Linked DNA regions of Arabidopsis thaliana. The protein of the gene in region 4 interacts with the protein of the main gene of each other region in a pairwise test. Each region holds a gene or a part of one and is shown on either strand. Other genes may lie near its edges.

The links.
Region 1: the proteins of GRF2 (region 4) and ACS7 interact in a protein complementation assay, tested with the Arabidopsis thaliana proteins (2 studies listed by BioGRID).
Region 2: the proteins of GRF2 (region 4) and NIA2 interact in a two-hybrid assay, tested with the Arabidopsis thaliana proteins (one study listed by BioGRID).
Region 3: the proteins of GRF2 (region 4) and ACS5 interact in a protein complementation assay, tested with the Arabidopsis thaliana proteins (one study listed by BioGRID).

What each region holds. Positions count from the first base shown.
Region 1 is NC_003075.7:13,272,784-13,278,750, reverse strand, and holds ACS7 (1-amino-cyclopropane-1-carboxylate synthase 7), read right to left. Parts: upstream 3,552-5,967; 5' UTR 3,445-3,551; coding exon 3,256-3,444; intron 3,156-3,255; coding exon 2,860-3,155; intron 2,664-2,859; coding exon 1,805-2,663; 3' UTR 1,563-1,804; downstream 1-1,562. UniProt on the Arabidopsis thaliana protein: 1-aminocyclopropane-1-carboxylate synthase (ACS) enzymes catalyze the conversion of S-adenosyl-L-methionine (SAM) into 1-aminocyclopropane-1-carboxylate (ACC), a direct precursor of ethylene.
Region 2 is NC_003070.9:14,156,153-14,163,534, reverse strand, and holds NIA2 (nitrate reductase 2), read right to left. Parts: upstream 5,084-7,382; 5' UTR 4,919-5,083; coding exon 3,874-4,918; intron 3,688-3,873; coding exon 3,547-3,687; intron 3,451-3,546; coding exon 1,883-3,450; 3' UTR 1,597-1,882; downstream 1-1,596. UniProt on the Arabidopsis thaliana protein: Nitrate reductase is a key enzyme involved in the first step of nitrate assimilation in plants, fungi and bacteria.
Region 3 is NC_003076.8:26,329,222-26,335,340, forward strand, and holds ACS5 (ACC synthase 5), read right to left. Parts: upstream 3,592-6,119; 5' UTR 3,478-3,591; coding exon 3,199-3,477; intron 3,095-3,198; coding exon 2,934-3,094; intron 2,848-2,933; coding exon 1,875-2,847; 3' UTR 1,525-1,874; downstream 1-1,524. UniProt on the Arabidopsis thaliana protein: 1-aminocyclopropane-1-carboxylate synthase (ACS) enzymes catalyze the conversion of S-adenosyl-L-methionine (SAM) into 1-aminocyclopropane-1-carboxylate (ACC), a direct precursor of ethylene.
Region 4 is NC_003070.9:29,459,277-29,465,172, reverse strand, and holds GRF2 (general regulatory factor 2), read right to left. Parts: upstream 3,783-5,896; 5' UTR 3,291-3,782; coding exon 2,814-3,290; intron 2,637-2,813; coding exon 2,514-2,636; intron 2,402-2,513; coding exon 2,285-2,401; intron 2,184-2,284; coding exon 2,121-2,183; 3' UTR 1,784-2,120; downstream 1-1,783. Other genes in the region: AT1G78310 (VQ motif-containing protein), read left to right, coding at 235-1,170. UniProt on the Arabidopsis thaliana protein: Is associated with a DNA binding complex that binds to the G box, a well-characterized cis-acting DNA regulatory element found in plant genes.

The DNA.
Region 1 (5,967 bases), on a different chromosome or scaffold from region 4:
AAACTCAATTTAATAAGCTTAATTAAGGGGGGTTTCCTTTGGAAGGACTAGTCAAATCAAATACTACTTCTCCTAATTAGCTGTAAGTTGAAGTATTATAACATTAATTTTATACATAGCTATAAGCTATGTAAGTCAAAGTATGTACGTATATGTTTATTATTTGTGCATGACATAACGAAAGCAATAAATACTCATAACATAAAAAAACTAACTAAGTCAAAGTATATATATGATATGGATTTATAAAAATACGTATAAATTTGGAAATGTTGGTGCAATTGAAAAATATTCAGAATTCAATTGTAAATTTAGAGTTCGCCAGGTTCAACTTTACCTATATACTATAGTCCTGACTTTCGATCTAGTGATTTATCTAAAGCAAGTTTTTAATATAAAAAAAATGATGTATTAAACATGATTGGTTTAGTTCTAGGTGCATGATGTAAGAAATGTCTATAGTTCTGTTGCATGCAACTTCTATACCATAGATACCATTCCGGCATTCCCTGTCATTATTGTATAGATGAACTCATTCCAAATACAATACTGTATATTTATACACTTTTTAGAAAAAAATATGTGTGTTGAATACATGTAACTATAATTTGCATTATTTATATTATTTTAGTAGAGACCGTTGACAATGGTCCATTGTCTTTGCACTTAAATTGATTTGTTTTTATTCAACCAAGTGGTATACGACCTCGACTTGGCCAAGAAAACGAAATAACTTAGAGACTTTAGCTAGGAATCAACCATTTGTTTAAAATTTAATCATTCAAATTTCGTTATTGAAAATGAATATCTGGTAGACCAAATTTTAAAAATCGCCCGAATGATATCACAACAAATATATTTCTCATTGTAACGTACGGAAAACTTGAATGTGCACTTCTTTTATAAGCTGATTTGTTTGTAATTTAGATATTATATTTCGAGTTATATGATTAGTTAAAGGTTTCTATTATGTTAATCTAGAACAAACATCAAAATGTTTTATTTAAGAATATTTGTTACTGCAATTAATTATTTGGTTATCAAAATCCTAAAATTATACATGTAACCCTAAATACAATATAATAGTTGTTTCAATATTTTTTTGTCATAAATCGTCATAAATACCTCACTAATTGGTAGCCACACAAAACTAGTTCGATCTCATCGAAACCGTGTGTGTATTCGGATAACTAGTATTAAGAGAAGAAAAAGAACACATTTCTTGTTAGAGTTGTACAGTGACCAAGTCAAAAAAAGACCCGACCACATAACAACACTAACCTCTTTACAGAAAATTACAACAACAATGACATAACCATATTGAAATAAAATTATTTAGACCCATTTTCTGTATACGACAACAAATATTAACTTGACAAAAAAGTCAACAAATATTACATACAGATGTATAACCTTCAAGAACAATAAGTAAATCTGTATCTACTGTCTATAATATATTTGCGAGGTGTATCATTATCTTAACAATATAAATATATTTGTTTTTGCCGTACTTAAGTAATAGGGATAATTTTCCGATAGAGATGTTTCTGTAATGCTTTATATTTTAAAAAATTCGTTTATAACAATAAATATTACAAATCAACCTTGATGAACATGAAATTAACTTGCTTTGTCCAAGCAAGAAAACAAACAATAATATCTAGAAAAGAGAAACAAATCAAAACCCATTTTACATCAATGGGTTTAAATTAATTATCTTCTCTTTCCTAAAAAATTAATTACCCCTCCCCCATATATTTAACCACCAAAAAAACGGATTTACTTTACTTTTTTTTTTAACATTTCAAAACCTCCTTCGTCGGTCCATGAACTCATGTATTCTCTTCAACGCAATCTCCAAAGTGTTCTCACTCATATTAGCAAAACAAACCCTAAACCATCCGACCTCCGAGCAGTGGCACGAAGATCCCGGAGATATATTCAGGTTCAGCTCCTTTAAGATCACATCCCAAAGCTGGAGCTCGCCGTCTTTAGTTTTCTTTTCGAGCAAGAAACCCAAATTCATCCAACAAAATAGCCCTGCGTTCCCTTTCAAACACTCAATCCCTGCCTTCTTAAGCCCTTCCACAATGGTATCGTACCGTCTTCTAAGTCTTTCCCGGTTTATCCTAATGTACTTCTCCGTAAACTCCTCATCCGACAACATAGAAGCCAGCATATGTTGTGTCTGAGACGAGACAAGCGTGAAGCTCGACATCCTTCTCGCTGTCCGAACAACATTATCGTTGTACGAGTATATAGTTCCCACGCGGAAACCAGGAAGACCAAGATCCTTGGAGAGACTGTAGACGATGTGAACTCGTTCCTTTACTGACACGTCATCTATGTTTTCTACGATCTCGGCAACGCTTGTGAACTCGGAGGCATGGAAGACGGAGCCGGAGTAGATCTCGTCTGAGACCAAGTGAATATTCTTGCGTACGCAGAAGTCAAGGAGATCTTCTAGAACCTTCTTTTGGACCGTCGCCCCTAATGGGTTCGATGGGTTGGTTATGAGCACTCCTCGGACTCTAATGTTCGCGTCACGAGCCGTTTGGTACGCCGACTCTAGCGCCTCCGGGGTTATCTGGAAATGGTTCGAGCTGTCGCAGTGGATGGGTACTATTTTCACTCCGGTTCTCCATCTCAAATCTCTATCGAATCTGTAATGAAATAAATAAACGGTTCGGTAAATACAATGCATTAAATATCGAAAATAAAAGATTTGCTAGATTATAACTTTCTTTTAAATGGTGTTAGTTAGTTGCAGCTATTTCTTTGTAGTTTATCTTCATATATACGAATGACCATATTTCTTAATTTAATTCATTATATATCTTATTATAAAGTGTGACGTACCCTGGATAATACGGTGTGGGAACTAGAAGGGCGTCGTTAGGATCGGCGAGAATGAAAGTTAAGAGTTCGTTAGCGGCGGTGGCTCCGGCGGTGAGGACGATCCGGTCAGGATCAAATCTAGCTTTGCCTCCTCGAATCTGTTCCATGAAACTAGCCATGGCTTGTCTGAAAGTTTTGAGACCGTGGTAGTCTTGAAACAATGCGTTTTCACGGAACCCAGGAGCTCCTTTTGATCCCCACATCGAACCTTCTGGATTCTTCTTCTCCAAGTAAGTTTCAAGAAGATCAAACGAGACCTGTTTGTAGGAAAAAAATGATCGAAAGAGACAATTAATACATTATCGCAATATATAACAATTAATAAAAAAAAGTTGACTATATGAAAGATTTTATTACCTGATTCTCAGCGAGACCCATTTGGATGACACCGGAAGGGTTATGAGATTCGTCGTAAGGATTTTCGTCGTAAGCTTTCCAGCCGGCGAAGTACGGTGAGTCTTCGCCGTGAGTGTCTGAAACCGCCACTCGAGAAAGCTCGACGTTGTTGTTGTTTGATGATCTCTCCATCATTAGAGGAAGACCCATTTTTTTCTTAGAGCTTCGAACCTGACACGTGACACGTGACAGCTCTAAAAACACAATCGGAGAGAGAGAGGGAGAGAGGTTGAGAGAAAGAGAAGTGTGTTGGAGTTAAACATTTGTGTGAATGAAGGAGTATATATAGCAGACGTGACCAAGAGGAAAGTCTTTGACAAGTTCAATTTTAATATTAGTTTACTTACATACAGAGAAGAAGTTTGTGTAAAGAATAAGGAAGATTCGATTGTGGAAAAATACGGTGTCATTGACCTGCAAATGGATGAATAGATAAGAGTGTTTGGCTATTTTTATTTTTGTTTTTATCTTGAAACTTCTCGGTGGTTCATCTTTAGGAGATCGCCAGTTCTATAAAACACTGATTATCAATTTTTAAACGTAATGTTGTTTAGACTTTAGTCTGCTAAAAATAGTTTAGTTTCTATTATTGTGTACGAGTTTAAATGTGTTTTAATGTTGTTTGTTTTTGGAAAACTTTCTAAATATTTTGGTTTAGTCGGCTGCTACGATTTAAATCCAAAAGGGTCACTAATGCGTTTTAGATAATAGTCTCGTAATTAATAATCCTTCACTAATACAATATTGTTACACAGAAAAAAAGATTCTCGTTTACCTATTTTTCACTATTTGATATTCTTACAGAATGGTCACTAAGAAAACTGTAAAGTACTTTTGTTTTTTCTTAGAGACCATAACAAAAGGTAGTTACTTTTTTTCTTTGAGAATACAAATTTACGTAAACAAAGAGTCATCAGTACTAGTATGTCGTTTTTAACTACATACAGTTTCTATATAAATTATACGCGTCTGTTTTACATTATGTGTGTTAAATATAATAATAGGAGCTGGAATAAGTAACTAATCAAATTTATTGGGTATACTAAACTCCATAGATGAAAGAAATGAGGAAACAACTAAATTAAATGTTCTGATTCGATGTTTTAAGCAAAATCAAAGATCACCTTTTGCCAAAATCAATTTCGGACAACTGTTAGCTTATGTCTTCTTCTTCCTTCTCTCTTGTTGATACTTATTTTTTCTACTTAACATTTTTTAATTTATTCATTTATTTCCATAACTTTAGTTATGATCTATAGCCCAAATACGGTGGTTGAAATTCCGATTATATGGATTTGGCATCATTAAAAAAATGAGAAATTTACATTATACGAGAGGAGTGGGTGGGTGGCTATCCATTTACACTTTATTATATCTAGACAAAAAAAATTATGATAAAAATCTATACCATATTTCTGGACTAGTATTAGAAATTAGGAAATTCGATCTTTTGCTGATTACCATGAGAACAATTCGTCTCTAATTAAGTATGACAATATTTACGAACCAGAAGTCAGATGGATTATTATAGTTTCTTCGCGTGAGTTAATATGATTATATTTCGATAAAAAAAGAAGTAATATGATTATATTTAGATTTATACAAATAAAAACCTATGGTAATCGAACAAAATTACATTTCTCAAATACTGAGTTGTTGAGCTAACCGGTCAGATTGTAGGTCATTGCATCGGTATGATTTTTATTTGTTAGTAACATATATATGAAGAAAGAATTTCTATATTTTATCTAAAAGGTGATATATCTATAAAAATTAGTTGTGGGAAACAGTTTTATATGTTAATTAGAATTAATTTTGGCCGTATTAATTAATACGATTACCATAGGTTTCTAATTTTCCCCTAGTGGTCAAAGTATGCTCCCTAATGGGTGATAATTATGCTCCCTATTAATGGCGGTACGTACGGCTAATCGAAACCTTTGTTTAATTAAGGCAGAATTTAATTCTCTCCTACTCATGAACCCGCTTACACATGCTACTGTATAAATCTTTACCATATAGTACACTTTAACACATGACGATAAACAAAACAAGCTACCTTAACATATTTTTAATCTAACAAAATTAAAAAAGAGAAAATACTTTTACCACTTTTCATGTACACACAAAAAAAAACCCCACTAGGTTTTAGTATGAATATATAAGTCCATACTGTATTTTAAGATTTTTAAAAATATTTCCCATGACGATATATTATTTTAAAACTTACATGTCAATATATAAATACGTTTATACATATATCTAAATCTTATTAATTAGTTCTATTTTTCCTATATGTAATTAAAACTCTTATAAAGCTCATCCAATTTTATATATTAATAATATAAGATGTGTGTGCACAAAAAAAACAAATTTGAAGCAAAAAAAGAGAGAGGATATTTGGAAAGATCTAATAGTGGTTAAAAGTCCAACTACGTGACACATATACATACAATCATACGATAAGATTATGATTCCAATTTGTGAACAATATATGTTCATCAAGAATATAAGTTCTTGGAGGATCTTAGGTGACCCCACATATCGCAATTAATAGTGAGTTATGAAATCAAAAATTTAAAACTTTAAAAAGAGGAGAACTAATTAACAGAAAAAAACTTTTTTTTTGTCGACGTTTTAACAAAGATTAAAAGCACGAGTTTCTCATATCTA
Region 2 (7,382 bases), about 15 Mb from region 4:
TAACTATATAAGCCCTTTTAACAAACAAAAAATTAAAATTAAATATAAGCTCTAAAAATAATAATAACCTTTATCTAATTATTTAATAGGTAAAACAGGTAAATAATTCTAAAATTTACATTGGAAATATAAAACTTTTATCTTTGTGGGACAAATTTTTCTTTAGAAAATTCATTTTTGTGGGATGGAGAGAATACTATTTTACTGTTAATATCATAAACTAATTGATTCAAAATATAACTATATAAACCCTTTAACAAACAAAAAAAAAACTAATTAAATATAAACCCTTTAACAAAAAAAAACTAATTGATTCGAAATATTCTTGGTGTGCTGGCTATTTTATTTTATCAAAAGCTAACAACTTGCTTAGGATAATCATATTTTCTGTCATTATCACAAATCATAATAATTGTTTGAAAGCAAATTATATGTTATGCTTACTAATTTTAAATCTGAGAGTCAATTAGGAACTACTCGTCTCATCAATTCAAAATAATATTTTCTCCTGAGTTTAGGGGAGTTTTATTAGTTCCAATAGATGTGGTATTTATTTAAATACATTTTGTATGCGTGATGACTTAATCTTAGTTAAATTTATTATTTATTTTGAATGAGCTTTTCTATATTTAATTTAGAAAACAAATTTAGAATTTCTAAACAATGAATAATAATAAATTCAACTCCAGTTCATGTGCATCACTAAGTTGAAGGACACTAAAATTAGACTACTTCTACATTAGATCCTCCAGAATTGGAGATATCGACTATTGTTTGATTTTTAATTTATAGAATTTATGTTGAATATTTTGAGTCATATACTATCATAAAATCATGGGTGCATTATCAATCATCCGAAGATTTTTTGTTGTTGTTGTTGATCATATAGTATTCCAAGCTTCCACTATTCAATAAATCTAAAACATATTATTGTATACTAATCTCTACATATTTCTAGAGTGACACATTTTTAAATGAAATAACATCAATTCGTTTTACATCCGTTCGATTTTTATATGTTAGAAAATATATCTTTGCATTTTTCTGTCGACATTATTTAAGTTCTTGAAGTTATGAATCGTTGATATATGATTTTATTTAGATATATATATATATATATATCGTAACATTTTCTATCGGTTTAATAGCACACTATTTTTATATAGATATGATGTTCCTTTTGGATAACTTAGAACATAACTTGTGATGCTGTATTAAAATTCTAATCCTGTAATGGAGAAGAGTTTGGATGCTAGAAACATACTTTATAAACATGTACAATTTTAATAAGAACAAATTGAATATTAACTGAAAACTCTAAAGATTCTCAAACGATTGATATATTGTTAAACTAATCACCCAAAAAGGAAGAGTCTTCTAAATTACAAGTTAATAAAACAAATGAAAAAAGTAAATTCACTCCCCCTAATCTTAAATCATATATGTGGTGAAGATTAATATAGGAACTAATGGACGAGTTTGGTTTCAACTTGCACAACAGGAAACTACTTCGCTTTGGCTTTATTCTCTTTGAAAATGATTATTGGTGTCTAATAGCTGTAGAATTTTTATTTTATTTTTTAACGACAAAGACATATGAAAAAATGAACATATTCAAATTGATATTCATAATGTGAAGTAAACGCAGAAAATTCAATGTACGATAACCTAACCACAAAAATTTCTGAAATTACTTTTTGTATATTATTGTGAAAAAAAATATCGATCGTGAATACAACGAACACATTATATTTCCAAATCCAAGACTTTAAAGAACCAACATTATATACAAACAAATCCCTCAATACTTATTTAGAATCTATCATAACACTAGGCTTTTTGACGACTTAACGTTTTGACTTTGAAATATCTTGGCTTTAGACTAGAATATCAAGAAATCCTCCTTGATGTTATATTGCATCTTCTCCAAATTCGGCTGAACCGCAAACTGAATCATCGGTGGTGGTCCGCAAGCCATGGCAAGGGCTGAGCCATCTAATCCATCAGGGATATGTTCTCGCATAATCGCCTCGGAAATAAACCCGGTACTGTATGCCCAACCTTCCTTAGCTGATTCCACTACGTACCAAACCTTTAACCGGTCCGGGTATTGCTCTGCCCAACCATCCAGTTCCTCCCTTAGGAGAATATCTTCCTCGGTCCGGTTAGCATAAATGACGTACATTTCAGTCTCATCCTCTGGATCCTTGAGAATGGCTTGGATAATTTGGTAAACCGGAGTTATTCCGGTTCCACCTGCCAACATTGCCAATTTATCAGCAAACTTTGGTTTACCGTGAACCGTGAAACTACCCTTGCCGAGATACTCAACGTGACCCAATGGTCCTTTAATCTCCAAAGTTGACCCTATAGGCAAAGAGTCTAGGTACTGAGACATGAGCCCGCCGTTAGGGAATCTTGGGTGGACACCGCCAAAGTAAATCTTGACCACGAGCTCGAAGTAGCCAACCACATCAACGGTGCTGCTTGGTGTGTAAGCTCTGAGGCAGAGCTTGTCATTGATGGTGGCGCAAAGGAAAATGTGCTTACCAACCGGTAAGCCTAGAACCATATCCTCAACCGGTAAAGCAAACCGGAATTTACGAACATCATGAGAAATGGAAGTCTTTTCGACGAGTTGAACCGGGACTTTAGCCCGGGGATTAACCAAAGCGAGGTTCCTAACCGGAGTCGCCTCTCCAATGGGAGCCAACAGCGAGAACACGGCGGATGAACCGTGAACCGAGTTGTTAGGCGAGGAAGAGTCAGAGGAATAACCAGTGGTGATGAGCTCACCGATACGGTAATCCTCAAGCATCTTCTTGGCTTTATCCGAGTGAATGGCTTCAAACTCCTCCGTACAATCCGTACCAGCATTGATCAAGATTGAATCCGAACCACCCGGGTGATCCATAAGGAATCGTGTACAATCATAGATATGTCCATGGACAATGATCCAGCAAGAGTCAGCCGAATTATGCTTCTTGACCTCGGACATCGAGTACATCTTCGCAGTTGTGTTCATAAACGGCGTCGAGACAGACTTCTTTAGACTAGGAGGCGCGTCAGCCGATTTTTCGAGGTGACGTTCCTTCGCCATCCATCCACCAGATTCATTACCAGGAAGCGTTGGATGCTCGAACACAATCCCAATCTCTCCCTTGTGTGGCTTGCACACGTTAGTCTTCACTCTAAACCAGCAGTTATTCATCATCCCCATGAGATTCCATATCATTTTCTCGGGCTGCGTGTTGAGAGTCTCGTCCCATGCACGAACAGCAATCTCTTTGGCACTAAGCAAGTCCAAAACCTCAACCTCAAGTGACCAAAAACACCAACACCAGAACTTCCCATACTTGTTTGGCTTCTCTTGATGGTCAAGTGCACATACGTTCCATGTCTCTCCACCATCTACCGTGACCTCCACACGGGTCACTTTTTTTCCACCTCCTGTTTTTTTTTGTATAAAGATTATTGTTACTATTAAATTAAATCATCCTATGAAATAACGTATTTATTAAATTAAAATGTTAAAAGGACAAGTACCGGAATATGCGTAACCCTTTAAAGTATAAGGTCTTTGGGTTGTGAAAGCGTTGATGGGAAGAATCTCCTCGTGACATGGCGTCGTAATCACGGAGTTTATGTTTAGCTCGTTGATTATGTACTCTGGCTTATACCACCAACCTAAAACAAAACCATTGAATTTGAATTTATGTAAGTCACAGAAGCTGACATCATCCACCAACATTAGTTTTTCATTTTTTAATATGATTTCTGTTTTTGTTTTTCTCCTATAGGTTCGGAGACTTTTTAAACATATCAATTAGTTCATCTTAATGAGATTTATTGAAGCAAAAAGATTTTATGTACCTTCTTCGTCGGCGAGTTCGGCGTCTACCAAAGAAGGTAAAACTCTGTTGTCCTTGAAATGGTAGAAATTGTCGGATTCTTTAGTTGTGACAATGATTCGTTTCAACCATTTAACCATCCGGCCACCAATGAAACCGGGGATGATGATCCGAACCGGAAAACCGTGGTCTGGTGTTAGATACTCTCCGTTTTGCATATAAGCCAAAATGATGTCTCTTGATGGATCCATGGCATATTCCTTCTTGATGCTCGTTCCGTATTTGGAACCAGCAGTTCCGGCACCGCCCGGAAGATCCTCCGACCCTTCGAAGCAGACGTTGAGAGCGCCGCCTTTTCGGCTAAAGATCCCGCAGCGACGCAGTACGTCGCAGAGAGGGACACCACGCCACACGGAGGTGGAAACTCCGGCGGATCCCCAGTTGAATCCCTTTGACTTCTTCACCATGTTCTGTTCCTTACGGCGGTTCCCCGCGCAGACTAGCGTCGCGGCGAACTCGCGGTAAGCAAACTCGGAGACGAGCTGGTCCATGGTGAATTTCATGGGCCGTTTGACGAATCCGGTCACCTCGACCGTCCATTCGGCCCATTGGGCTTTAGGGACGTGGCCGTGGTTACGAACGTAGTGCAACGGGACAGGGGTGATAAACCCGTGGTGCATTAAACGGTTAAGAGGCGCCTCGGAGTTGAAGGGATGTTTCCCTGTGAGACGTACCATGGAAGGGTTACGCTCGATCCAGCTATCAGCCGTGTATTCGTCCCTCGGGTCCAAAACGGACGGTTCAAGCTCGGCGTTGGATTTTCTTATCATCTCCTTGTAGTACACGGCGTTGCTGTTGTGTGTCTCGTTCTCGTCTTCGCTCGACACGTCTTCGTCATCGTCATGAACCTTGGCTGGTTTCAAGAACACGGTTTGGTTGGTGGTTTGGTTCTGGTGCGCCTTAGGGGAATCGGACCGGCCTGGAACGGGAGGTTTGTAAGAACGAACCACGCCGTTCAAACCTGGCTCGAGACGAGCGTATTGGCGATTATCTACAGAGGCCGCCATGTTGGAAAGTGTATAATCGTAAATAATGTAGAAAGCAGAGCCTTTTTCTCTCTCTATCTCTCTCTTGTGAGTGAGATGAGATCTGAGGACGAAAATGCATCGTTGGTGGAGATGAAGTTATATAGGAGAGAGCCTAGTGGTATGCTTTTAGGAAGTATCGTGCCGAATCACACGTATGGGACCATTTGTGACTTTTTAATTTTTTTCTTACACACTTACTATTAATTTTTTCTTATGACTTGACTTAATTAAATAAACCATCCATTTGTTTGACAAAAATAAACGATCATAGTTATTCAATAAGCTTAAAATGATCATTTTTGTCCCTATTTGTTATAAAACAAATGTGAATTGTTGGAGTAGTTTTGTAAATACTTTTAACGTCTCGGAAACATGTATAGATTTTTTTTTGTCAACTAAGAAATGATGACAATTGAATAATATATTATTATCTATCATTGGTTATTTCCTGTAATACAATATAAAAATGTGATCAAAACATTTTCCTTTTTATTTTAGTCGAATTTGTTTTACTAAAAAATATGTTTTCTTATTCGTGACACAAAGCCGTATTTATTTTTAATGGAAAAATAACGATAAAAGATGACAAAATAATTAAGAGCAATAAAATTAGTAATACAAAAATCGTGGTGATAATATTTTCATACTATTAATTTTAATAGTTTTTGTGATCGGTAACTATTAAAACCGTATATATATATATATATATATATATATATATATATATATATATATATATTTTGTAAACCGTATATTTTTTACCAGTAAATTAAAGAATTATCAATGTGTTAACATAGGAAGAACGTTCCTTTTATTATTGAGATTTGATAATCCTTTTACCCCTGGTTCTAGTTTAGAAGTTTATCAATGTTCTTATATCCTTCAGTTAAACATAGGAACAACGTTCCTTTTATTCTTGAGATTTGATAAATCAATTAAACATATTATCAGAAAAAATCTAATAATCATACAATATTTATTTTCTTATTAAACGTTATTTTCAGTAATATTTTCTTATTAAACTGTTTTTTAGTAATATTTTTTTTTGATAAAATTAACAGATGTGATTTTCAGCAATATTGATGAGATATTAATTATTGAGTAATCTAATTTTTTGTATACATTATTATAACCTAAAATAGTTCCTTGAATCATCTAAAAGTTTAAAATACCTATGTATGAATGTTGGAAAATGAAAAAAAAAAAAAAACTGAATGATGGAAAATGATCACGTTCATCTTTTTCCTTAAAATAACTACAAAATTATTTCTCTTTTTGATCAAGATGCAACATTACAGCCACCTATATATTAGTATTACTGTTATTATTGTTTTTCTTCGGAAAGAATGGCGGTGACTAATCAAAACCGACGGAGCCACGGGTTCAGCAGATTCAGTGGGTAAATCTTTCTTTATTTAAGACTTTTTTTTGTTGAAAATTTCATTGAGTAAATATTGAATATTGATTTTCTTGTGAACTTCTAATTTTGGGTAACCAATATACATCTTTATTTTTTTTATATATATATATATATATATACTTCTTCTGTTATAATATATAAGATATTTCACTAAAAAGACAAAGTTTAAGATATTAATTAATATTTTTACATTAAAAAACATATTTTGATATTTAATTAAAGAGAGTTTGCTAATGAATTTTTTACTGCAGAATAAAAATTTATCTTTTGAGATGTGAGATGAAGATTAAATCTGTGAAAGAAAAAAAAGTAAAAAAGACAGTTTAAGTTTAAATCATATGGTACTATTTATATTATGTTTAAGTTTTATACTTTAAAAAGGAACATGAAAATTTAGTTGATTTCAAGTTTCCACTTTATTTTTTTTTATGCTAACCTTTCATGTTAAAGTGTCAAACAATGAAAACTAAATTTGTTGCGAAGACTATTACTATCCATACAACAATTTCTATTTCATAGCACAATTTCTTAAATAAGACTACTTGCATATAGCAGTTTCAATATATATGATTTTTATATACCTAACTTTACAAATAAGATAATCAATACAATATATATAGTATAGTTAATATAGGGAATTAGGGACGAGTGATATGAAGAAATTATATTTACGACGTTTCTAAAAGCGGTCGTTTGTTTATTCTTTACATTGTTTTATCATTTTTGGTGGTTTGTCATTTTCCAAACTATTATTCTCCTTTTTAATAAAGTCATTAAAAAATGAGTCGTCAAACTTGTGAGATATTTTACCTCAATTGATCGCCTAACTTGATTATTTAGCTCGTAGTTGTTGACTTGTTGTCATAACGTCATTAATCCTCCAATCTCAACATTAATTATAATCAAACTTTGACAATATTTGCGTAACATAAAAGCGAAAATTGTTTATTGCCACAAATGGCAATTCAGCACTCTTTAAACACCTATTTCTACTTTATAACTCTCGCATATCTAATAATCACA
Region 3 (6,119 bases), on a different chromosome or scaffold from region 4:
ATACGTTGATAAAGATAAACTTCCATAATCTATATCTACTTTTAGAACTGGGTAAAACAATATTTTAAACATTTTTACAAGAAAACGTATTCTTACATTACCAACTATATGATTAGTATGTGGCACCAGTTGACGTAACAATTTATGGAATGATAATATCAAATATCATTCCAATGTCGCTTATTATAGTAGCAAGTAGACTACGACCATGACAATGACGAAAATTTTCTGGTACAACGACTTCATAATGTCAGTTTGTATAGTTATGGTCGGTCATATGCAATAAAGACTTTTAAGTAGAATATTACTTAATCAGTATTACTCATTCACGGATTCTCAAATCCAACCAAATTCTCAATCTCTTATTTTTCAAAGTACGTACTGCTACTACATATCTCTGTTAAGTTTTTATAATCGAATTGTTAATTAATTGAGACAGATTTTTGGGGACTCAACCACCACATTAATGCTGTTCACATGTAAGGATCATTTGCCGTTACGGCCGGTATAGCCGCGTATCATGCTAAAATTAAAACAAAATCGGTTACTAAAGTTGTATTATATATTTCGTAGTCTACTCTTCGTAGTACCAACAAAGCTCATGGCACTTTTTTAGTTTTTTTTTTATGTGATAGGCTTAGCATAATAACATTTGACCGGTATCTTATATCTTATACTATAATGATTAGCCTATGATGATATGACACTTTATCCTCTACTTTATCCCTCGGGAAATAATTTCACAAGAAAAAAAAAATGGTTATAAAGACTTTTCTCTTTAAATGATTGGAGCCTTTTCATCCTCAAATTTTTGAAAATTATTGATTTCGATGATTGGAATTGTAATGTATAAATCTATAATCATTGTAATCATTGGGACATATCCTCCTTAACATATATATCAATCAACCATGGCTCTCGATATACAGATTTCGGTTTCTCATAAGTTGCTCATTTTTTTCTTATAATTACGTTAATCCTGATAGAGTAAGTTTTGATTATACAAAAAAAAAATGTGGATTTCGTTGTAAACTTGTAATTTTAGTTCAAATATGTGACGTGAACATTCTTACGCAATGCAACGTACCTATTCAAAGCTCAAAACTTTACTGCCGTAGAACGCTAGAAGCTACCTTTACCCCGAAATTGTTAATGGGTTTTAGTCGATTTTTAACTAAATTATTTAGGCTTCATCGAATATTTTCGACAAGTAGATCATACCTTCTCTCTTGATTCACCTAAGTGGAAAACCTTTGACTTTCCCCTTTTGCTTTCTCAGTTGACCAATTCGACAATTCCCGCCATATTACCATATAATGATTAATTAATTAGTTAATTGACATTAAATTAAGCCTCCTTTTGATATGCCTCAACTAACGTCCTTAACCAACAACGTTAACACGATCTTTATAGCCTTATAGTCAGAGGAGAATTCTCACAACAAACTCAAAAACTATACCAAATGATAGAGCATAAAATTAAAGAAACCCATATTTATAAAACAAAATATATATAAACTAAAAAGAGTGAATTACATTTTTATATATGGGTACAATACACACAAACGTTTCACTAAAATTACAACGGGATATATATTTATTTATATATATAGCCACTGCAAATCCACATTCGGATTGAGTGCATTAAAAACATATAATAACACATAGTAACAATTTTACACCCGAAAAATTGCATAAATTAAAGACTCACCCAAACATTAAAAAAAATATTACATATATAATGATATGATTATAGATATCTTGGAAAATTAAAAATACTTTCCCAAAATATAAAAAATGAAGGAAATAAAGAAGAAGAAAAAACCGTGAAGTTTTCTTTTGTTCGTCGTCTCAAACTTAGGGAGATGAATAATTTCATCGTTCATCAGGTACACGATCGGTCCATGAAACCCGGAAAACCCAGTTAGAGACTGTCTTCTTCCTCAAACTCTTGAGCCTTTCATGGCTGCTTCTTGATATCATTCGTCCACAGTCTGTGGATTCTACGAAAGTTTTGAGCCTCTTCAAGGCCAAATCGAGTGTGTCCTCGCTCATATTAGCGAAACAAACCCTAAACCAACCCGGTTCGGTGCAGTGACATGAAGAACCGGGTGATATGTTTAGTTTCACGTTGTAAACAATCTTTTTCCAGAGGTCAAGCTCTGCTTCAAATGTGTTTGTGTCCAAAAGGTGTCTCATGTCGACCCAACAGAACAAACCCGCGTTGCTTCTCAGGCAAGTAATCCCTGCAGACTCAAGACCAGACACGAGGCGTCTCTGTCTGGACTTGAGTCGTTTCTGGTTCTCTTCGAGGTATTGGCTAGTGAACTTCTTGTCGGAGAGCAATGCAGAGAGAAGGTATTGTGTCTGAGAAGAAACAAGACCAAAACTTGACATTTTTGTAGCTGCTGAAACGATCATTTCGTCGTTGGAGTAGATCGCTCCCACACGGAAACCAGGAAGTCCCAGATCTTTAGAAAGGCTATAAACGACGTGGACTCGTTTTGAAACCTCCGTGTCTTCGAGTTTCTTGTCTTTCAAGACATCCATTACGCTTATGAACTGTTCAAACCCGAACATAGTGCCTGAATAGATCTCGTCGCTAATGAGATGAATGTTCTTGGAAGTGATGAAGTCAACGAGAAGGTTAAGTTCACGTCTGGTCAACGCAGTGCCAAGTGGGTTAGATGGATTCGTGACAAGAACTCCTTTGACTTTGAGATCAAGTTTCTGGGCTTGTTGGTAAGCTTGTTGCAGAGCTGATTCCGTGATTTGGAAGCCATTAGAGCTTGAGCAGTGAATGGGTACTATCTCTGCTCCGGTTCTCCATTTAAGATCTCTATCAAATCTGTAATCATAAAAAAGCCTAGACGTAAGCATATATTTCTATTGGGTTTACTTGGAATCCAAGTAAAGAGGAGAAGTGTAATTTACCCAGGATAGTAAGGAGTAGGCAAAAGGAAAGCATCGCCAGGCTCTGCAAGGCAAAACATGAGAGTCTCATTCGCAGATGTCGAACCAGCCGCTAAAACAATCTTTTTTGGATCGAACGTGACACGGTTTCCTCTTATCTCTTCCATAAACTCAGCCATAGCCTGTAAAAAATGACAGAAAATGTTCATGAGAAATGGATTCATTACTTGTGATACACGTCAGGTTACTCTCTTTATTGAATTTGAGAAAAATGAAAGAAGCTTACTTTTTTGAATTCAGGCATGCCATGATAGTCTTGAAATAGAGCAAGCTCTCTGAAAATGGATTGACCGTTCCTCTTGAGACTTGCCGCGTCTGGGTTCTTAGTTAACCATGACTCGATTAGATCGAAACATAGCTGGTTTTCGGCTAGACCCATCTGGATCATCCCATTAGGGTTCTTGATCTCATCATAAGGATTCTTCTCGTACTCTTCCCATCCCAAGAAGTAGGATGAGTCTTGTCCATGACCATTGCTTGTCACTTTTGTCGAAAGCTGTTTCATTCTCTGTTTTTAAAGTCAAGAGATTTTGGTCGTAGAGAAGACTAATGTGGGTGAAGGAGAGAACGAAAAGAAGAGATCTTGAATTAGGGTTTAAGTTGGTGAAGAGTGAGATGTGGTTGGAGAAGCAATGGGTCTGTTGGGATATATATATATATAGATAATAATAATCTAACGACATTTAATTTCAAAAATAAAATGTGACAACAGAATCAGAAACTAGAGAGACTTTTTTGACCGTCCAGACATTACCATAGTTTTTAGTAAATATTCTCCAAGACATGTGAGACAACTTCTTTTATTATTTAATGCGATCTCCAATAATTAACAAGCTATATTATTTAATACAAAATAAACAATTAAAACATTGCAGTAGTTCTTGTTTCTTTTTGAAAATAAGAATGATCTATTATTGAGTTTCTATTTATTATTGCATTCACACATACAGCAATAAATCTTAGGATTATGTTTAAATAAAAATAAAAAAACCAGCTCTACATAGGGACAAAATTAAATAACACATTTTGAGCTTCTTTCCAAAATTTATTTGATCGTTTTCTAGGATTCAAGCATATTTAATAATAATTCTACAAATTAATAGTACTAAAATGATTAGTCTTTACGCGTTTCCGTCACCGCCGGACCGTCCTTATTATGACCATCATTTAGGGACCAAACATAGCAATTTAAAAAGAAACCTCAAATGTAATTAACTTTTTGTTGTTGTTGTATAAACTGAATCACTATGCTTATGATTAGTTTAGTCGTCCATTCACGATGTCAGCTACAAAATTGGCTGTGTGAAGTTGGATAGAAAAAAGAACCAACATTAATTTATATTCTACTTCTTGTCCAATACTAATGCCAAATAATTACTATTTATAGACTGCTAAAATTTTATATGTCGTATAATGTGAGTATTTTGCTGAAAAAAACTGTGAGCATTTTATGTAACTTTAGTTATCAGATTCTGTAATTAAGTGTCAACACGTTGACTTAGAAAATATTAACAAAATAAAATAGGGTGGTAAACGTAAAATTGGAAAACAAGGAAATGACATACAAGAAAAATGAACAGAGACAAGTGGAGCTAGGGGAGTCAAATGTAATGTCATACCGACATCAAATCGTCTAAAGTAATCCTGTATACCTATGCATCTACGTATGTATACATTTATACGGCTAAAATACATTTATTTATACGGTAGAGGGTAAGTCAAATAGGACCATTTATGCTCCCTAAACTCTAGTAGTCCCAAATGTCTTGGTCCGCAATTTTTTTTCGTTTTCTCTTCCTCTATCATTGACAACAACTTATTTATTTGGTGGGATCGGATACATACAAATATGTTTTTTACTGACTAGGATGTTTTCAGTCTTGTAATTATCGACAGGTTAACCGGAGTTGTAATTAGTTTTTTTTTTTTTTTGGTTAAAGGGTTTTGGAGTTAGTTTCATGTGAATTATGCGGTATTCACTGACGTAGACTGATCTCCAATACCAATAGAATAAATGATGATAGTTTAGCATAATTGTGTTGGTCCGCAGTTTATGTAAAAATAAATGTTGAGTCAGATATTGTTGCAGATATATTGATATAGTTACTTTGATCATGGGTGAAATAATGAGTTTGGATGGTTATCATAATAAAAACATAAACACAAATTTTTTGTAGAATACAATTTTCCTACTAGTTGAATTGAGCTTTAGTTGTATATATCTTCATCCTGTTTTTTTTTTTAAAATGTATACAAATCAAAGAAATAAACATATTGTTTATTATATAAACTCGAAACTTTATTTAAAATAAGCTACTAGTAGAATGCACAAATATTTCTTGAAACATGAGATTTTCAAAATAAAAATCATAAAAATGATGTGCAATGAGTGATTCAGTTTTGGACCTAGAATGATTAGTATAAGAGCATAATATTTAATCAATCAAATTGAGTTATATTAACATAAAAATCAGGTGGACGATATCAAAACCCATGTTGGTGGCCGTTGGTTATAACTTATACCCCCAGATTTGTAGGCGACGTTGTTCGTTTAAGTTTGACTCCAACTATTAACTAACTTAACTGGAATATTCTTTGGTAGATGTAACATATTATTGTCTCTTAACTAACCAAAAAAAAACATTAATGTTTGTTATAGGATTTTTTCTGACGTCAGGAAATCGTTATCATTTCAAAATCGTATATCCACTTTTTTGAAGTACTTTTTTAATAATTAATGAGACGCTGTGATTTTCTCAGATTATTTTTGAAGATTTTAATTAAAAAGCTCAAATTGATTTGATTGCTGCGAAAAAAATGGGTCCTCGTATAACAACTCTTAATAATGATACATTGGAGAATCACATGTGAAATAATATTTGATGATGAAGCCATATATTTCGGTATTGATCATCTTATTCTTGATTCTGTTTTATGAAACAACCAAAAGATATCATATCAACTCATAAATGCAATCATATAATTGGATAATTAATATCATATAGCTTTTTTTAGATTCTATACTTTGAAAAATCAAGATAGAATATATTTGTTATATTTTTTCATTTTTTTCCAACAGATTCTAATTATAGCTCAAAGTTGTTATATTATATTCTCTATTTTATATGTATAGACAGTAGAAAATAA
Region 4 (5,896 bases):
TTCCTTTTCATCTTATTCTAGAAAAATCCAATTAAAGCTACTTATTATAGTCGTATAGCCTATAGTTTATATAAAACCAAAATTGTTTTTAACTTATAAAATATCTTTAAAATAAAATAAAAAGAGAAAAAAAAAGCCATTTTCATTTTTTCATCATCTTCGTCTTCTCCATTATCTCTCTACCCAAATCTGGCAGAGAAAAACAAAAGAAGAAGAAGAAGAAAAACTTTCGATATGGATAAGAGCTGTAACTCCTCCGGCGATTCCTCCGCCGTATCCGCCTCTGCAACGAGTAGTACCGGTAACAATACAACGAACAGAGATCATTACCTGAGACAACTCAATAAGCTGTCTCATAAGATATCAAAACCGACGAACTCTTCCTCCTCCGTCTCCGTCGCGAATCGTGAAATTGATCTTCCACCTCCTCCACCGCTGCAAATCAATCAAGGGAATCTCCATCAACATCAACCTCCTGTTTACAATATCAACAAGAACGATTTCAGAGATGTTGTTCAGAAACTAACCGGTTCACCTGCACATGAACGGATCTCTGCTCCGCCGCAACAACCGATTCATCACCCTAAACCTCAACAGAGTTCGCGTCTACATAGGATCCGTCCTCCTCCTTTGGTTCACGTTATCAATCGTCCTCCTGGTTTGCTAAATGACGCACTTATCCCTCAAGGTTCTCATCACATGAATCAAAACTGGACTGGCGTTGGATTTAACCTTCGACCAACGGCGCCGCTTTCTCCTCTCCCGCCGTTACCACCGGTTCACGCGGCGGCGGAATCACCGGTCTCTTCGTACATGCGGTATCTCCAGAACTCGATGTTCGCAATCGATTCGAATCGGAAAGAGTTCTCTGGATTATCTCCGTTAGCTCCTTTGGTCTCACCTCGTTGGTACCAACAACAGGAAAACGCTCCACCATCGCAGCATAACAGTTTTCCACCACCACATCCTCCTCCTCCTTCCTCTGCTGTTTCGCAGACGGTGCCGACATCGATTCCGGCGCCTCCACTGTTTGGATGTTCAAGTTCGCCTAAATCTCCGTACGGATTACTCTCACCGAGCATACTTTTATCGCCATCGTCAGGTCAATTAGGGTTCCCTGTATCTCCGACGACGGTGCCGCTTCCTAGCCCTAAATACAAAGGTCATTGATCAGAAAATCGGAAACCCTTGTCGGTCAAAGTGAGAAAACGTCGTCGTTTTGACCGTCGCGACAAAATTCCCTTTGTTCTTTTTGTACATCATTAGTGGAGAGTGGTGGGATCATTTGTTTTTTTTTTTGTTAATTAACTCAAAGATTACTTAAATCCGTTTTTTTTTTTACTTTCTTTTGTTTTCATGGTTTGTTCATGTTAGAAACAAAGAAGACTAGGAAAAAGAAAGGAATACACTTTTGCAACTCTATTCAATTTTTATAAGTTTGCCATTATGATTTCATCTCTTTGTAAATCAGATTGCATACAAGAGTTTTTTCTTCATCGTCTATTCGATGGGGTATTAAATTTTTGATTGGTTGATTAGCTATACCAAACACTTCACTGTTCCTTTGGTTGAATTTTATGCTCTGATGCTTTCATTTTAAGTTGAAACTTCAAACTCTGACGAGATCATTAATTTAAACCTGTAAAGTGTCAAATGACTAACGAGTGTCTATTGCTTAAATAGTTCTTTTGAAATGTATTTTTATTTTTATATAATCAAATTGATGATTGATTTCAGACCAGGTAAAGTAATTGGCTTTACGCAGTCCAATAAACTAGTCCGCTTTTAAAATTAAAAATTGATAAACAATCAATCTACGCAACAAGATAAGAGACAAGAGACTTTATGATCTTCAAATTGATGAGAAAAGAAAGCAAGTTTCGATTACACAGACATTGAAATCGATAACAACAAAGAAATAAGAAAAGAGAAAATAAATTAAAAAGAGATAAAAAGATGATTGATGGTTCAGACTTGCCACAAATATGATGAATGAATAAGCTTTTGAAGATGAGCGAAATGGCAAGAGCGACCTCTTAGATGGATTAAGAAAAACATATGGACGAGAAAGAGAAGAAATTCCAAACCCTAGAAGAAAACTAGCAGTTTCACTCAAAAGATCACTGCTGTTCCTCGGTCGGTTTTGGCGCTGCTGCTTCCTTGATCTCATCCGCAGCATCATCCTAATATAATCCCCACCGTTACAGAATTTAGTCAATGGAATGCGAATCATCCATAACAGAAACAAAGAAAGAACAAAGGTGCGGGGATTATATGAACAAACCTGCATATCAGATGTCCAGAGAGTGAGATTGTCACGAAGAAGCTGCATGATCAAGGTACTGTCTTTGTATGACTCTTCACCAAGAGTGTCCAACTCTGCAATCGCCTCATCAAAGGCCTTGACGATACATAACAACAACAAAACCAGTCAAATTTATGTCCAATGAGGTCAAGTGTTAAACCAAGTCCAATCACATTATCATAATTGAAAGATGAGTAGATTGAAATACCTGTTTGGCGAGGTTACAGGCACGATCAGGAGAATTGAGGATCTCGTAATAGAACACAGAGAAGTTCAATGCAAGACCAAGACGAATTGGGTGTGTTGGAGCAAGCTCTGCATTAGCAATATCCTGCACAGATAATTACACATAGAGACTATAAGCTCAAAACCTAGACAATCTCAAGATCTTATTCGAGAATACACAAATCCCTAATTTAAGTCTCATTATACTGGAAATCTAACAAACCACCATCCACGGATCACACACTAGACTCAAATAAACTAGATCTGAGATTCGGAATCAAACCTGAGCAGATTTGTAAGCGGCGAGTGTATGTTCGGCGGCGTCTTTCCTCTCTTGACCAGTCTTAAACTCAGCCAAGTACCTGTGATAATCTCCCTTCATCTTAAGGTAAAAGACCTTGGAATCACCAGAAGCAGCGGCAGGGATGAGTCTAGAGTCAAGCAACTTAAGGATTCCGTCGCAGATTCCGGAGAGTTCCGTCTCGATCTTAGACCTATATTCACGGATCGCCGTGACGTGGTCATCGTTACCACGGCTCTCTTCCTTCTGCTCGATCGATGAAATGATACGCCACGAGGCACGGCGAGCACCAATCACATTCTTATAAGCGACGGAGAGAAGATTTCGCTCTTCTACGGTGAGTTCATCGCCATCAACGGCGGCGGAGACTTTCTCCATAAACTCTACCATCTCTTCGTACCTCTCCGCTTGCTCCGCGAGCTTAGCCATGTATACGAACTCTTCACGCCCAGACGCCATTGTTGTTTCTAGAGAGAATCGATCTAAGGAAGAAGAATCAAAGAGGGAAAGATCTGAGATCTGATCAAAAAGAGAGAAACGGTTTCGATTAGAGAATCGGGTGTTGTAGGTCAAGCGAGAGAGGACGATGAATGAGTTTTTGTGTTTAATGAGGGAAAGTGATAAATGCGTTTTAGAGGAAAAGAGTGAAATTTGGAACCAAGATCTAATCTGGGCCGTTGGATTTGTGGCCGGTCCTGCTTTTTAAAGGGGGATTTTTTTTCACCTCAAATTAAGAACAACATAAATACACTTTTAGAAAAATTGGTAATGTGATTATTGGATAAAATTTGGTCAATTAACAAAATAATTGGTAATGTGATTTTGCTACTATTAGTATAGGCACCTTAAGGAATTATAAAATTTTGGGTCTAGTGGTTAAAATAGGGGCTAGTTTTTTGTAGATTTGTTAATATAGTTATTTACTAATTGTGAAAAGAAATTGGAGTTGTGAGATTGATACAATAATGGAAGCAAGTTGGGTTAACAAAAATGGAGACAGCTCAGAGGGACACATGTGTGTTGTGAGCATGTCAGGGGATCCAATGGACCCTTTCTTCTCCAACTCAGCTTTCACATTTTTGTGATTGCTCAAACGGTTTTTTTTTTCTTCTTTCAAAATTTAAATACTTCGGAGGTTGTCTATTCTTCAAATCTTCAAACATTCAACTAAGTACGTAGGCGATTCTTACGAGCTTTTTAAAATCATTATGTTCTTAATTATGTGGTTGTATTTGTACTGAAGTAATTTATTAAAATACTACAATATTTGTTTTTCCTTTTTCCGTTTTGCTTAATCCAATGCTTATCCAGTTATCCTAATCCATGATTATGTTTTTTCCTATCTTACTCCTTTTTGTTAATTTGTTTTATTTGCATTAGTTTTCTTGATGATTATGTTTTACATTCAATGAAATAATAAGATTACTCTATACTTTTCTAGCATAAATATTAACTATACAATAACATGTATTCATTGAACGTATAGTCATGATATATCTAAAGATCATACGTTAGAAAAAACCGTCATATAAAAAAGGCGAAAATTCGGATATGTTCGAAAAAGATTTGTGGTTAATCTAGCTATATAGCGTACGCAAGTAGATCAAAAGTTTTTGATAAGTATTGAGATAACTCCTAATTATAATTAGTCATTTAGATAATGATGATCCTTATCTAATTAGCTTTCTTATCTCTATGACTATTTATATACGATTCTCTACTTGTATAGAGACCAATCTTCATGAAAGTGTTAATACACCAGATGATTTGCTCCGACGTGTTGGGTGTGGGGGAGATAGGGACGAGAGCATGAATCGATGCGAAACGTAAGGTTTGAACCATATCGAAGTGTTCATTCCCTAATTGCCATCCCCCTTAAATTTTGGGACATTCAAGAAATATTAACAGAGATAACATTATCTGAGTTCATAACATGGATTTACGAGTGGTCGGGTTTGATCATACCTAGCAGAGATATGGACGATTGACAATTGTGTGTTTTTGACGGATGAGACGTGACATTAATAACTTATACGATGACACTTATATTAATGCATGTTGGTGCATGCTCAAGTCAACATAAAATAAGAGGTTTGGAAGCCCAACAATTGAGCATATGTGGGATATCTCCGAGGCTCCCCTGCCAATAATTTTAATTATCTTCCCTTCTTTTTCATTCTTAACTTAAAAAAACTTCCGTCTCGATGTGATCTATGACTATGATGAGTCTATCTTGTAAATCATATGATTCATATTGATAACTTACGGTATAAGTTATGATAATAACAACAAACGCATTATCTTATTTGTCGTCGACTGTCGACAACAAAAGATCTTACAATTTTATTATAAGTTTCTGACAATTAACTTTAGGATAATATTTTATTTATTTTTGTTGAAGTCTTTAGGATTATACATAAAATACTTCTCAAATACCAACGATCAAGTTACTTTAAACTTCTTCCAACGAAACAATCATTAGTTCATTCTCTTATGGAAGCCAATCAAATCCCTCTAAAGAATAAAACCATGAACTTTGTTACTACTAAAATGTTTTCTGTACTTAGTTTCGTTTAGTCCTTAAGTTGATAAATTTTTTTTACCAATCTTTACTATTTGGAGTAATGCGATTAAATAAGGTCGAATTTCGATAGATGAACCGTTAACGATTTGACGAAGACACTTTTCCTCAGTGTTATCTTCGTTCGTTGACATTAGACAATAATCCAGTTTTATCCTATTATTTCAGAAGATAACGAAAATATTTCCTTTGTCACTAAGATTCCGAATTCTTTAAATTTACCATAAGTATTAAAAACAATTTATACGAGGTCGAAATCAACCACATATGTAGTAGAAGAAACCCCACAACACGACATTCGTTAAATGTCTCTCATACTTTTCCCTTTATATAATTGTTTTGCAATAAGTTTTTGATGTAATATGTTTAAAAATTCCCACCACATATCAAATACTGCAGCGATAGCTCCTCTCACAAACACACAAACAGAGTCAAAAGCAGTGACTCTGTTCCAAAAGCAAAGCAGCTTCCCAAGAAGATCAAA